Linked DNA regions of Arabidopsis thaliana. The protein of the gene in region 1 interacts with the protein of each later gene in a pairwise test. Each region holds a gene or a part of one and is shown on either strand. Other genes may lie near its edges.

Region 1 (7,613 bases):
TCTTCTTTGTAACCTTTTGTCAACGATCACATTCACATGTCACTTATTAGATATTGTAATATGTAATGTTTGGACCGACGTCGAAGCATAAGCAGGTGATTGGTCGATGGATCAAACTTATCGCTTTGGACGAAATGGACCACAATGATTCTTTTTTAGCTCACGTGATCGTGTTTCCAAACAATTTTTTATCATAAATCATCTCGATTATGGATGGACCTAGTTGTTGGTTATCATCTTGAAAATTTCCAAGTTGCAAGAATTTAATAAACCAGTCGAGTATTAAAATTATAATCAAACATGGGTAACTTGCTTGTCTCGTTAACACAAGATAAGTGCACACTTGTCTCAACCGACGACCGGAATCTATATTCACGTGTAGGAGGAAAACTTAGACTCAAGGACAACAATTTTGCCTAAATAAAAACTGTAGAAAGTAAGATTATGAATACATATACACTTGTACAAGTCATTCCGTTTTATGATACATTGCTATATCTTAAAGAAAAATTAAACCATTTTGTGTACGAGGAGAAAGAGTAAAATATGTGTGTTTGTATTGCGTACACAAACGTCAATATGTATACATACATGCATCTTTTTGATGTAGTTAACAAAATAAATTATACCAAGGAAAATTTCTATCACTAACAAAAACAAATTGTTTGTAAAGCATATAAATTGTTGCACTAAATAAAATCATAAAACGCTAGTTAATATGTCAACATGCGGTTTAATCGACCATCAGAGATATTTTCATTCATTTAAGATAATATCACATTTTTCCAATGGCCACTTAGCTAAATTACTCTTTGAAAAGTCATTATAGAAAATCATTAACAAATACGAAAAAAAAAAATACCACTAAAATGGTTAATCATTAACAAATACGAAAGATCTGAAAATTAGGAGCCGTAGGATCCGCTGGCTATAATTGACTTTTTCATCAGATGTACAAGTAGGCCTGAGTTGAACAAACACATCGTAACCGTACACGCATTGATCTGTCATCTAAGTTGTTCCGTCACAGCTCCGTAACTGAAACATAATCTCCACCTGTCACTATCGTCTACCAAATCCACGACAAAACCTAAATACCACTTATTAGTTTTCTTTAGTGGTTTATTAATCTGCAGAAATACGGCAACTTTTGTGGTTAGTCATATAAGAACAACCGCGTTACAAACTTCTCTCGTCTTTCCTGGAAATTTCTGTCCACAAATATTAGTCTTTAATTTTCGGTATGAACACTGACCCTTCCTTGATCTATTGATCTTTGTCGCAGTATTTATTAAGATTTTATCTCTATCAGACGGCTCTTTTGATTAATATTTTTCCGACTCTTATTTCTTATCTTCTTTGCTCAGAAACTTCTCTCAGGCGAATTCAAGTTTCATAGTTTTGGTCTAGTTTTTGTCCACCGATCTATCTCTTTAGGTGAGTTTTGTTTATTTTTTTCGGCTTTATAGTTTGTCTACGCTTCATGTTGTTGTTGTTATTATAATCTTGTGTTTGAATTGAGGTCTTTGATCTCGTTTCTTTCTGAATTTAGATATGTGTTATTCGGATTTCAGATCTTTTAAGATCTGGGTTTGGCTTTTTATACAGAAGAAAATGGTTTTGACTTAAAAAATTAGAGATAGCTCTTACCTCTTACGCTTGAGTCTTGGATCTGTTGATTTTAAAGCTTTATAGATCTTACCACAGTTAGAGAATTGTTGTTGACTTTTGTATGATGAGTTCAAATTTGTGAATTGAAGAACAGATCTGATGTTGTTTGTGTTTTTCTTTATATGAGAGGTTTCATTACCTTTGTTTTTAAGATCTGTTGAGAAAAGATCCATACTTTAGAAAAAAATCCAAACATTTGATCTTTTGTATTGGATATCTAATATGGATCTAGAATATAATCAAAGTTATAATGTTTTTGTATTATGGTTTGTGACAATTGATGTGTTATCTTTCTTCTTCTTTCTTGTTTTTTTCAGTTGAAACTTATCAGAATGGCTCGTCCACAAGACCCTCCACGTGGTTTCTTCCCTTTTGGAAACCCCTTCAAAAATCTATCTTCGAAGAACTCGGTACTCTCCTCAAAGCTTCTCCCACTCCTGAACAATTTTGAGACCAACTTAGCATCTTCTATTAGTAAGCTTGTCCCTAAGGAAAAGAGCGATATCCTGACTGTCTCATGGATGAAACAAGCTATGGAATCTCTTTGCGAGACACATAATGGTATCAAGACCCTTATAACCGATCTTGAGCTTCCTGTATCAGATTGGGAGGATAAATGGGTTGATGTCTATCTTGACATTAGTGTGAAGCTTCTTGATCTCTGCAATGCCTTTAGCTCTGAGCTTACCCGTCTCAACCAAGGTCATCTCTTACTCCAGTTTGCTCTGCATAACTTGGAGGCCAACTCTCCTCAGAATCTGTCGAAAGCTCAGTCATCACTAGACAGTTGGAAGCAACACATTGTCTCCAAGAACCCGAGAATAGAAAATTGCCGTGCAATCTTGAGCAGCCTTGTTCAGACCTTGAATCTCCCCAAGGTGAAAAACTCGGCCAAAGGGAAAGTCTTGATGAGAGCTCTATATGGTGTAAAGGTTAAGACCTTATACATCTCTGGTGTTTTTGCTGCAGCGTTCTCAGGTTCATCGCAGAATCTGATGTACCTTACAGTCTCAAACGAGCTTCCATGGGCACAATCATTCATGGAAGTGCAGAACACCATGAACGCAGAAATCAAGAACATATTTTTGTCAGACGGGTTAACGGTTCTGAAAGAGCTAGAGGCAGTTGCTTCAGGTGTCAAGAAACTCTACCCTGCGATCCAACAAGGATCAATAGATCCCATATCGCTGCAGCCACTGAAGGACTCGGTCACAGAATTATCGAATGGGATAGATCTTGTTTCGAAAGAAGTGGATTGTTTCTTCAAGATTCTGTTATCGGGGAGAGACACATTACTAGAGAACCTAAGGTCGATGGGTGCATCAACCCTACAGGCAACATCGCCAAAAAAGGCTGCCGGAAAAAATTACAGAGGATTCTGATAAACTATAAATGTTTGTACAGATGGTTTTACTTCAAGTGTTCCATCTTCTTGGTATTGAATGTATTATTAGGTTTTTGTGCAATCGTAGTCGTTTGTATGAGATGCTTTGAAAGTAGTAGTTGTATAAGTAAAGGTTTTACCAACTTATCTATATATATTATGAATATCTTTGAAGCTATCAAGATCCCAACATTTATCAACTGCTGCTAGATCCGTATTATCGACAGTTAGATCGAAAATTCACAGAGAAAAGAGATCAAAGACTTCAAATCAAACAGAAGATTATCAACTGCTGATATGATTTTCAATATACAGTTACATTCGACTAAAAGATTTTAAAATATATTACCGGTTTGATTTTCTTGTTAGCTAGATTATTACATTTCAGTTACGGTTTATTCTCGGTTGTGCAAAAATGAAGTTGAATTAGTTCGGTTCGGTTCGGTTGATATTGGGATTGAGTTTGTTCCGGTTACATTGACTTGTAGACCAATATGAAGTCGTCGTACTCAGAGAAAAGACGAAGAAAAAAGCAATGTCGTGTGTTGATTTTCACTCACGGGTCGTCCGAGAAGACGAAGACTCTTCTTCTTCTGATTTGCCCTTCAAAAGATCCAAACTTTCACACGTTATTCTTTTCCCTCTTTTTATAAACCCCAACAACCAAACAAGTCTCCAACACGCCAAAATCTCCTCTGTTTCATCTCAAGTTAGTTCAATTCAGAATCTTTGAGTTTGAACTTTTTTTTGTTGGGAGAAAGAGAGAAATGTCAATAGAGAAACCATTCTTCGGTGATGACAGCAACAGAGGAGTAAGTATCAATGGTGGTCGTTATGTGCAGTATAATGTCTATGGAAATCTCTTTGAAGTTTCTAAAAAGTATGTTCCTCCTCTTCGTCCTATCGGCAGAGGCGCTTCTGGCATCGTCTGGTTAGCATCTAAAACTGTTGTCTTTTTTTTTTGAGTTTTTAGCTTTAGAGATGAGACATTTTGTTAAAGGCTAAGTTTGTGCTCAAAACTTGTGATTTCTCATTACTAGTGAAAATTTTAAATATTTTCTATGTGATAAATATGTTTTGGTTGACCAAAAGAAAGAATTATTTTTCGGTGGGTTTTTGTAACTTTGCTACTTATCTCATAGTTGATTAAGAGATCATTGTGGTGAATAGAAGTTTTGAAGGATCATTTATTTATCTGATTTAGTGCTGCATGGAATTCGGAGACGGGTGAGGAAGTAGCGATCAAGAAGATTGGTAATGCATTTGGCAACATTATCGACGCTAAGAGAACTTTGAGAGAGATTAAGCTTCTTAAGCATATGGATCATGACAATGTAAGCTTTTGTCTTATTTTATTTATTATTCTCCACATGTTTTCTAGTAATTATCCTGATTCTGGAGTTTATCTCACAGGTCATTGCCATTATAGACATAATAAGACCACCTCAGCCAGACAACTTCAATGATGTTCACATTGTCTATGAGTTAATGGACACTGATCTTCACCACATTATCCGCTCTAACCAACCGTTAACTGATGATCATTCACGGGTACGCATTAACCTCTCCTGTGCTTCTTATAGCTCAAGTATCTTCTGTTTAGGTCAAAGTTTATAATCAGAATCTTTTTGGTTCGAAGGCTATGAAGTTGGGGTTTGATGTATAACCATAAATTTTATGTTTTTGCAGTTCTTCCTGTATCAGTTGTTGCGAGGCCTCAAGTATGTGCATTCAGCCAATGTACTGCATCGTGATTTAAAACCGAGTAACTTGCTCCTGAATGCAAACTGTGACCTCAAGATTGGGGATTTTGGGCTTGCGAGGACTAAATCAGAGACAGACTTCATGACAGAATATGTTGTTACACGTTGGTACCGAGCTCCAGAGTTGCTCCTTAATTGCTCAGAATACACTGCAGCTATCGACATTTGGTCTGTCGGTTGTATACTCGGTGAAATAATGACGCGGGAGCCGTTATTTCCGGGCAGAGATTATGTTCAGCAGCTTAGACTCATCACTGAGGTAAACTTTTCACTTTTTCACTTGACTATATTATTTCGTTTCAATTTGAAGAAAGAACATTGAACTATCCTGTTGCTACGTTTGTTCTGTTTTGGTTCTGTTTTTGTTGTTTGTAGTTTAATGAACAAACTCATGTATGGTTTATCTTTTTCATACACAGCTTATAGGCTCACCAGATGATTCAAGCCTAGGATTCTTAAGAAGCGACAACGCTAGAAGATACGTAAGACAGCTTCCACAGTATCCAAGACAAAACTTTGCCGCTAGATTCCCAAACATGTCGGTCAATGCTGTTGATTTGCTGCAGAAAATGCTCGTCTTTGACCCAAACAGACGCATTACAGGTAAAGCAGACGAAAACCTATATATGTTGCATTCTCTTTTGATTTTTTCTTTTTATAATACTTTTGAGCTTGTTTTGAGTTGCAGTCGATGAAGCCTTGTGCCACCCTTACTTAGCACCGCTACACGAATATAACGAGGAACCTGTGTGTGTGAGACCGTTCCATTTTGATTTCGAGCAACCTTCATTGACGGAAGAGAACATCAAGGAGCTTATATATCGTGAATCAGTCAAGTTTAACCCTTAAGATTCTTAGTGTGTGAGATTTTAAGAGAATCTTGAAAAGAAACTCGAAATAAGCTTTTTTCTTTCTCTGTTTGTTCATTGATTTTTTTATTTTATTTTTGTTGTTGTGTGTTCATTGAATTTCTGATATAGTAAAGTTTGTAATGTAAAAACAAAAAAAAAAGTCTATAAATATGAAACAAATACAAATTCTGAGTAAAGAAGTAACATGTCAAATAAATTTCGGCCCAACACTAGTCTTATCTGATTGGCCCAACACTAGACTGAACTGAAAAAAGTAATTTAATGCCTTAAACCTATTTTTGAGATTTAATTTCAGCTCTTATTGACTTCTTTTTATCACGACTGAAAAAGAAAAAACATATCACGAATATGAAGTAGGTTATGGTATGGCTAAAAACAAGAGAGTAGGTTATGGGTATATCACCTAAATATTTCTATCTTTTCTTTTTAAAATAAACTCGTGAACTTTTTACCTAACTTATCGGTTTATTATGAAAAGTGATATTGATATTCACACAAAATCAAATAAATTATAATCAAACATACTGAAATTATATTACCAAAAATAAGCATTGATCATTCGAAAATGGTAGATTTGACCGGTGCTAATAGATACAGTCAAATATTTTCATGCCGTTTCTTTGTTTGTAAATAAATAAATAAGTACATCCTCTTAATTAAAAATAAATTAATAGTTGACTAAAATATTCCTTTTTCCATAGGATAAATACTAATATAAAAATCTTTTCATCTGCTCCTTTGAAGAGCTTTTAATCTCTTCTCTGAAACCCTCCCCCAGTGACTCACCACCACGACAAAAAAATAAAAAAACGGCGTAGTTTCGGTTACTTCGTCGTCGTCTTCCTCATTTCGCCGGAAGAATTATCCGCCATGGGAGACGATAAGAAAGATCAGAAGCAGCTTTCTTCATACTTGAAAGCTAAAAACTTTTCATGTGATTCACATTTTTCATTTTATTGGCTAATGTCGAGGCTAATCTTCTTAATTCTCGCCATTCTCTTCTCTCTTCAATTCGTTTTCTACCCTTTAAATTTCATCTCCTCTTCTTCTCAACCTCTGATCAAATTCTCTGTTTCACCCGTCGTATCCGGATCCGGGTCGGTTCATGAACCGGACCAAACCGAACTCAAGCACGTCGTTTTCGGAATCGCCGCCTCTGCGAAATTCTGGAAACACCGTAAAGACTACGTGAAGCTCTGGTGGAAACCAAACGGTGAAATGAACGGCGTCGTTTGGTTAGACCAACACATTAACCAAAACGACAACGTTTCGAAAACATTACCTCCGATCAGAATCTCCTCCGACACGTCTAGGTTTCAGTACAGATACCCAAAGGGTCTCCGATCGGCGATCAGAATCACGAGAATCGTCTCGGAGACGGTGAGGCTGTTGAACGGAACAGAGTTGGAGAAAAACGTGAGGTGGATTGTGATGGGAGACGACGACACTGTGTTTTTCCCGGAGAATCTTGTCAAGGTTTTGAGAAAGTACGATCACAATCAGTTTTATTACATCGGAAGCTCGTCGGAGAGTCATATACAGAATCTCAAGTTCTCTTACGGGATGGCTTATGGAGGAGGAGGGTTCGCGATTAGCTATCCGTTGGCTAAAGCATTAGAGAAAATGCAAGATCGTTGTATTCAGAGATATTCGGAATTGTACGGCTCCGATGATCGGATTCATGCTTGTATGTCGGAACTCGGTGTTCCTTTGACTAAGGAAGTTGGCTTCCATCAGGTTAGTCCTCTGTTTTTATTTTATTTTCCTTCAATTAAATTTAATTTCCATTTGAAGATTTTTCCTACATTGTCCTTTTTTTGGGTGAAAACTTAAGTTTTATTTCAGTTTTCATAGAGTGTTTTTATTTTAATGTTTGAAGGGTCAAGATCTTAGCTAGGTTTTGTTTAGGAAACAGAATAACTT
Region 2 (6,544 bases), 2.6 Mb from region 1:
CTTAGGATCTCTTCATTGTCTGAAATGGCTCCACGGGACGTCACTTCTCACACAGAAGCAGCTCTTGAGTCAGAATCTTCTTCCTTCAACTCAATGTCAGTGGCAGCAGAAACAAACCAATATTCAGGTGAATTACTGGATCTTGCAGATGCATACAATATCGTTGTAGGAAACGAAGGTCACTATGATAGTAATGGAAGACAACAAATAGAGAATTGGATGAAGAAAGATACGTCTAGAGTTAGCGAAGACCTTAAAGCACTTCTTACTCAAATATCAGCTTCTCGTGGGATAGAGTTTTTGTCACCTAGAGATGTAAGCCCCAAGATTTCTGTTAACAGTAGCGATCAAGAGACAAAGAACCTAGATCATGATATGCAGCTGCTACTTCAAAAGAGAATGCTTGAAAGGAACGAGAGTAACTTATCGTTGGAAGGAGTTTCTGTGACTGAAATCGAGGGTGAAAGTGAGGGTGATCGGTTGAAAAGACAGGTTGATTATGATAGGAAACTGCTGACTGGTTTATATAAAGAATTGGAGGAAGAAAGAAGCGCTTCAGCGGTTGCTACAAATCAAGCAATGGCTATGATAACGAGGTTGCAGGAAGAGAAGGCGTCATTCCAAATGGAGGCTTTGCAGAACCTGAGGATGATGGAGGAGCAAGCAGAGTACGATATGGAAGCAATACAGAGACTGAATGATTTACTTGTTGAGAGAGAAAAACTAATACAAGATTTAGAAGCTGAGATTGAATACTTCCGGGACCAGACCCCTCAGAAGAAGAATAAGCTAGATGTTGCAGAAAAAGTGACCGAGATGGATTCCCCTAGTGAGGGAATGAGCAACAAGATACAGAGTTGTTTAGTTGGGTTCGACGAAGAGAGATTATACATCACCAGTTGTCTGGAGAAGATTGAAAACAGAGTAAATGGCAAGGCTCATGACGATAATCTACCAGCACAAGAATCTGTTTCTGAGCTACATGAGAGAGTAGAAAGGCTGAAGGGAGACTTATACTTCCTAGAACAAGTTATGAATTCTCTTGGCCATGGAAATGAAGGCGTGCAATTTGTAAAGGAAATAGCTTCTCATTTGCAAACTCTGCGGAGTCTCAGCATGAAAAGACAAGATCAGACTGAGTGTTGATGTCCTGAGTAACAATCTTCACAAAGGTATGTTCTTTCCTCTTCCCTGATTGTTGTGTTGATTTTGTTCTTCAGATAACTTCACCTGCGGAAATTATAGCTCTTTGTACAAACATCTTATTATTCATATGTCGTTCTGGTTTTTTAATATGTTAGACACCTTTGTGGAGAGGATATTGTAGAGGAAACTAAAAGAAGTTCAAGATTCAAGAAGCTTAAAGAAACTGTATAGCATCGTCTTCATTGCCTTCCCCTTTCGTATACGATAATCTCAGAATTCTTTACGATTTCATTTTTGGGTTTGGTGTTCATAATTTCCTTATGGGTTTTCATATTCTTTGTGTTTATTTTGCATTTTTCTTCTAGTTTTGAGTGAAGAGTGAATGTAGGTTTTGTTCTGAAGTTCTCATTTGATTTTTTTTATTAGGTTGGTTGATACTTTTGTTTAGCATGTCAAAAGTCATGCAACTTTGTTAAACTTGTTGTACATTTCTTCGTTATAAACTACTTATACGTAATGTCCTTTGTTAAACTCATATTTCTTTGTTGGTGTTAGGACCTCGAATTTGGAAAATAACAAGAAGGTTGATACGCATAATACAAACTTACAAAAGACAATTAAAAGAGGAAGAGAAGCCAAAACCTAATATCTAAAATATTTTCTTACTGTTAAAGTAGTGATATCTAAAAAATTAAAAACTGTCTTTGGCGAAAAAAAAAAGGGTTCAAGAATAATAACATGTAAGACCACCATGCATCATTCTTATTTCTTCTTTTAGTTTGAACTTCAATAATCCGTCCTCCTCTGTCTTAACCAACTCCTTAATTAATCTGTCTTAAGCTTCCTTAATTTCTACAACACTTCCTTTGTCTCAACCAAATTTGTGTAGTATCATTCATGTCCCACTCTTGTACATCTCTCACTTCTATGCTTAATTGGAAGATTGTATCACAGAACATGCCACAGCTTGTGCCCAATGCCTCAGTCTCGTTTTAACCTGTTGAGGATCATCTCCTGCAAATTTATAGAATATAACATCAAAACACAATCATATTATGAAAATATCAATCTGACGAAAAAGTTTAGGTTGCTATGTTACCTGGAGACATAACCTTCAAAGAATCAGAGTCGCTTATTGGACTACCAAAAGAGGAAGATCGGTCTCCGAGGGAAGTAGGACGGGAGGATGAAGAAGATCCACCACTGCCTGGTGTAGAAACCGGCGAGATCTGACGAGTCACAGCGAAGTAAAGGTCCAATGCAGGCAATGTAGTTGTAAGATGTTGCCCTTGCTCCTCGTTAAACCCGAACCCTAACTCAATAGATCCTTTGAGCTCACTCAAGTCCTCGTCCGTCAAGTCATCTCCTCCTTCGTTATGCTTCTCAAGGTGATGGAGCATCTGGCGACGGCGACGCTCCCATGCGATGTCTCTACGGGTCTCTAACATGGAGAGTTGCTTCGAGAGACGTTTCTTAGCCTTAGCTTTCGGTGGTTCCAATGGCATCTTTTGAAGCTCTTCTACTTCGCTGTCGTAGAAAGATGACGACGATGAGGTTGATACACTCAATGCTTCTCCAACCCTCACCATCTTTCTCTGTTGTTAATATAAGAAATCGCAGGCACGTTTATGATTATCAACAAGGGGCAGAATATTTTTGTGATGATGTGCCTTGTTGTACAAGTTAGCTCATGTAAGCGAGGAAAAACAGAAGAACTTGAATAGATTAGTGAAAATCCCAGAACTCTGATTCCCTTTAAAAAATGTTCATCCCGGAAGAAGAAAAGGGGTAAGAAGTTTTTTCTGTTTGGTTTATTTTATTAATGTACAGAAGGAGATATGTTTTCTGGTGAACTTTAATGGTGTGATATTACAAAACACAGAAACAATGAGTTTCTTCTACCACACATTTGGTGTTGTTTAAAAGTAGGGTTTGTAGAATTTCCATTTGCCATTTTTAAAGGGATCTCTCTGTTAATTCCCTGGGGAGATTCTGGAGCTTGATTGATTATGGAGACAGAATCCAAAAACAAACCTTGGTGGTTTTTGTTGGAATAACTAACTCTTACTTGATATAGGTTTTGTTCTAGAAATTTTTGGTGTTGTTGTTGGTCGAAACATATTACTAACACTTGCAACTAACAAGATGGTATAACCACTAAACTAGTACAAGTATCATTTAGTTAATTAAACATGTTAGTATGTTACAAAATTTACGAATCAATAACGAAATAAGCAAAATAACCAATTCCAAGCCAAGTGGGACAAACTCGACCGAAAAGACCAAAAATCAATCATAATTTGGTATCAAAACCATTATACCGGGAAGTACCAGAATAACTCGGTTGGGCCTAGCCTCTAATAAAAATCGGTCGGGAAAGAAACTCACAACTCTCTCTCACACAGCAACGTTCTATTGAAATTTGGCCTGAATCCCCAGAGTGCGACGAAAATGCAGCAGCAAGTAAGAAAATCATCTCGAATAGGAGTAATTTATTTTGTTAGCATCTTCTTCAATTGATGCTAATGGATGGTTGATGATGATGTTGCAGGGGAGTAAGAGTGGATCTGAGATGGAGGTGACATGGGAGGACCAGCAGAACATTAATATCTTCAGCCGTCTCAACAACAGAGTCCATGACCTCGATGACGATATCAAATCCGCCAAGGTTCTCTCTTTTATGTATCCTTGATTTTTTCTTCTACACGATTCTAGGGTTTTAAGATTAGGTTTTATTCATGGATTCAATTCGCTATGTTGCATCGTTTAGGTGGTGGAATACTGTGATTAGATCCAATCCCGTAATGAATTCACCAAATAATGAATCTACTACACATCGGTTTGCTCTCAGCTAACTGATTAACTCCTTGTTGATGAAATGAAATCAGCACTGCTACAACCCGATACAAAAGCTAATTACAATGATCCTGAGAGTATATGATAAGTGTTGTTGGTCTAGTGTAGGATCATGATTAAGATTATTTGAGATAATTCCTGATTTTATTGATTGTTGTAAATTGTAATTTTACTTCATTCAGATAACCCCACAAGAGAATCTCTATACTCTCATATCTCATTTTACATTCTCTTTAGGTTGTACCAATCTACTGTAACCTGCTTATACCATCCGTGCACTCTTACATATCACTGCTCCCTTAACTTTCTCCTTCGTTGGTGAATATAAGCCTGCTAGGGTATATCAGATCACTGTAATTAGATATTGTAATGGTGTTGATAGTTCAGCATGTGTAGGAAACAAAAAGGGAGATGTGGGACTTTGCAATAATAAGTGGATACTTGTCTTGTTCAATCGTTTCATTAGGGGGATTAAAACAGCATTCTACTGTGTGTTTCTGCATCTAGCTTGATTAAAAAACAATTGATTTATGCAGGAAAAGTGTGAAAATCTAGAGGATGCAGGGAACGAGTTGATCCTTGCTGATGAGGAGATGGTGCGTTTTCAAATAGGAGAAGTGTTTGCTCATGTGCCGAGGGACGACGTAGAAACAAAGATAGAAGAGATGAAAGAAGCGACCTGCAAAAGCCTTGAGAAACTCGAGCAAGAGAAGGAATCAATTGTAACACAAATGGCAGCGCTGAAGAAGGTATTGTATGCTAAGTTCAAAGATTCTATCAATCTTGAAGAAGACTAGTTAGTAGTTATTCCCAACTTTGTTTTTCTTCTATTGCATCAGTTTATGATTCTACTGTGAGTGTAGACCAAAGGATTCTTGAATTTAACATACTGGTTTTGTTCATTATGAAATTTCATCTGGTTAATGCATACTTTTCTTTTTCTATCGGAAATTATGTTTTTGGCAATTCTATAAAATACCATAACACCAATTTGTTTTTTCCCAGAATTTGTATACATTCAAACAAAATGAAACACACACGCCAAAATATAAATACAAGAATCTTTGGGAAATCCAAAATACAAAGCCCTAAATTGATTCCCTTAGCTTCTTCAATCAAAAACCCAAGAAATTACGAGTAATTCTCCAAACCGGTTTACTCAAATTGGGGTATAACTCGACGGTGGCCGGTTACCAGAACCGGCAGACACCAGGCCACCACGGCGAGCACTTTCTTCATCAAGAAACAAATCATCGGTATTACGAAAAGCGCCGTGAGCTCCGACGATGAGCAAACCAATGATCAGCGAAACCAGAACGTTTTCGCCCACATCTGTATATACCAATGCCAAAACCGTTACCAAGCTGAGTAAAACCAGCACGATCTTGTCATCTACTTCTTTCCCCGAAATCACAATCGAATCGTTTGCGTCTCGAGAGAAATAGAGAAGAATCCATCCGATGAAGACGACGATGAAAGCGATCATAGACATCGGATGGTAAATAAGGCCGAGGAAAACAATGGCGAGAACGGCGAGAGCGTAATTTCCACGGAAATAAGAGATGTTGTGCTTTAGATGCGCCATGGCTTCATCATACCCGCGAGGGAGAGAGAGCGCGGACAGATCGAGAATCTCTCGCCATGGACGGAGCGTCGTGATCATCGATTGCGTCGTCTGCTTGGCGCGTGCACTCAACGTCCCGATGATTGTGGTGTTGGAAGTGGAAGAAGGACCGACTCCTCCACCACCAGCGCCGCCATAACCGTACGGCGGAGGTTTCTGATTCATCGGAATTGGTTGATTTTGTGTTTGAAAATAACACAAATCTGTGGTCAAATGGCAAAACCTTGGATTTCAAAGAGTCCATGTGGAATATGGGATGATGGGAGGGACTTGTTCGGTGATTATTATTTTCTTTTGGGACCTTGTAGTTTTTTTATTATTACAAATAAACCATAAACAAATCAACTTTTACCGATCGCCTCTATTTCCACATAATCATGAATCGTCATAGTTTTTGTAAAATTACAGAATTGTGATGGATCTAAGTCTTCTAATGATATTTTTGTTTTTGCTGATCTTCTAATCTTTAATCGCTAGAGAAGAGATATCGTTATTAATGGATAAAAAATATGTTGAAATCTTTCGAACCAATAGGTTCTCTTTAGTGAGTATCTGACTGAATAAAAAATACCAACATTTCACGTCGGTAGGCTTCTTAGTGATGCCTGAATTATACAGAAGAAATTGACCGCCAATTTTCATATATACAAGAAAAAAAAAAAACAAGTAGAAGCTTCTTCATCATCATTTATCTCTTTGCTTTGGTTTCGATTGGTTTAGGTCTAGGAGAAGAGACTGAGCCACCACCACCACCAAGTGCTGCAGCTGCTGACTCCACATGTGTGAGCAGATACTCGTAGATCTTCTTCCGTAATCGATCGATTGTTTCCTTAGAGACTTCTTGTAACCCTTCTTCATCCTCTTTCGATCCAATCTCGTCTAACCAATCATTCACACTCTTCAGCTGAGACAGCATCC

Evidence for each region. The genes of interacting proteins can lie anywhere in the genome.
Region 2: the proteins of MPK11 (region 1) and AIP3 interact in binary tests that used the Arabidopsis thaliana proteins (3 or more experiments, as listed by UniProt).

What each region holds. Positions count from the first base shown.
Region 1 is NC_003070.9:198,523-206,135, forward strand, and holds MPK11 (MAP kinase 11), read left to right. Parts: upstream 1-3,588; 5' UTR 3,589-3,822; coding exon 3,823-3,986; intron 3,987-4,259; coding exon 4,260-4,389; intron 4,390-4,468; coding exon 4,469-4,606; intron 4,607-4,744; coding exon 4,745-5,077; coding exon of another isoform or gene 5,078-5,140; exon of another isoform or gene 5,141-5,237; coding exon 5,238-5,421; coding exon of another isoform or gene 5,422-5,506; coding exon 5,507-5,667; 3' UTR 5,668-5,918; downstream 5,919-7,613. Other genes in the region: BPS1 (BPS1-like protein (DUF793)), read left to right, coding at 2,004-3,053; AT1G01570 (transferring glycosyl group transferase (DUF604)), read left to right, coding at 6,561-7,427.
Region 2 is NC_003070.9:2,808,180-2,814,723, reverse strand, and holds AIP3 (ABI3-interacting protein 3), read left to right. Parts: upstream 1-3,410; 5' UTR 3,411-3,597; coding exon 3,598-3,609; intron 3,610-3,697; coding exon 3,698-3,814; intron 3,815-4,538; coding exon 4,539-4,799; 3' UTR 4,800-4,946; downstream 4,947-6,544. Other genes in the region: AT1G08800 (myosin-binding protein (Protein of unknown function, DUF593)), read left to right, coding at 1-1,146; AT1G08790 (1-phosphatidylinositol-4,5-bisphosphate phosphodiesterase epsilon-1, putative (DUF1685)), read right to left, coding at 2,078-2,160, 2,246-2,735; PRA1.E (prenylated RAB acceptor 1.E), read right to left, coding at 5,162-5,791; AT1G08760 (GPI-anchored adhesin-like protein, putative (DUF936)), read right to left, coding at 6,315-6,544.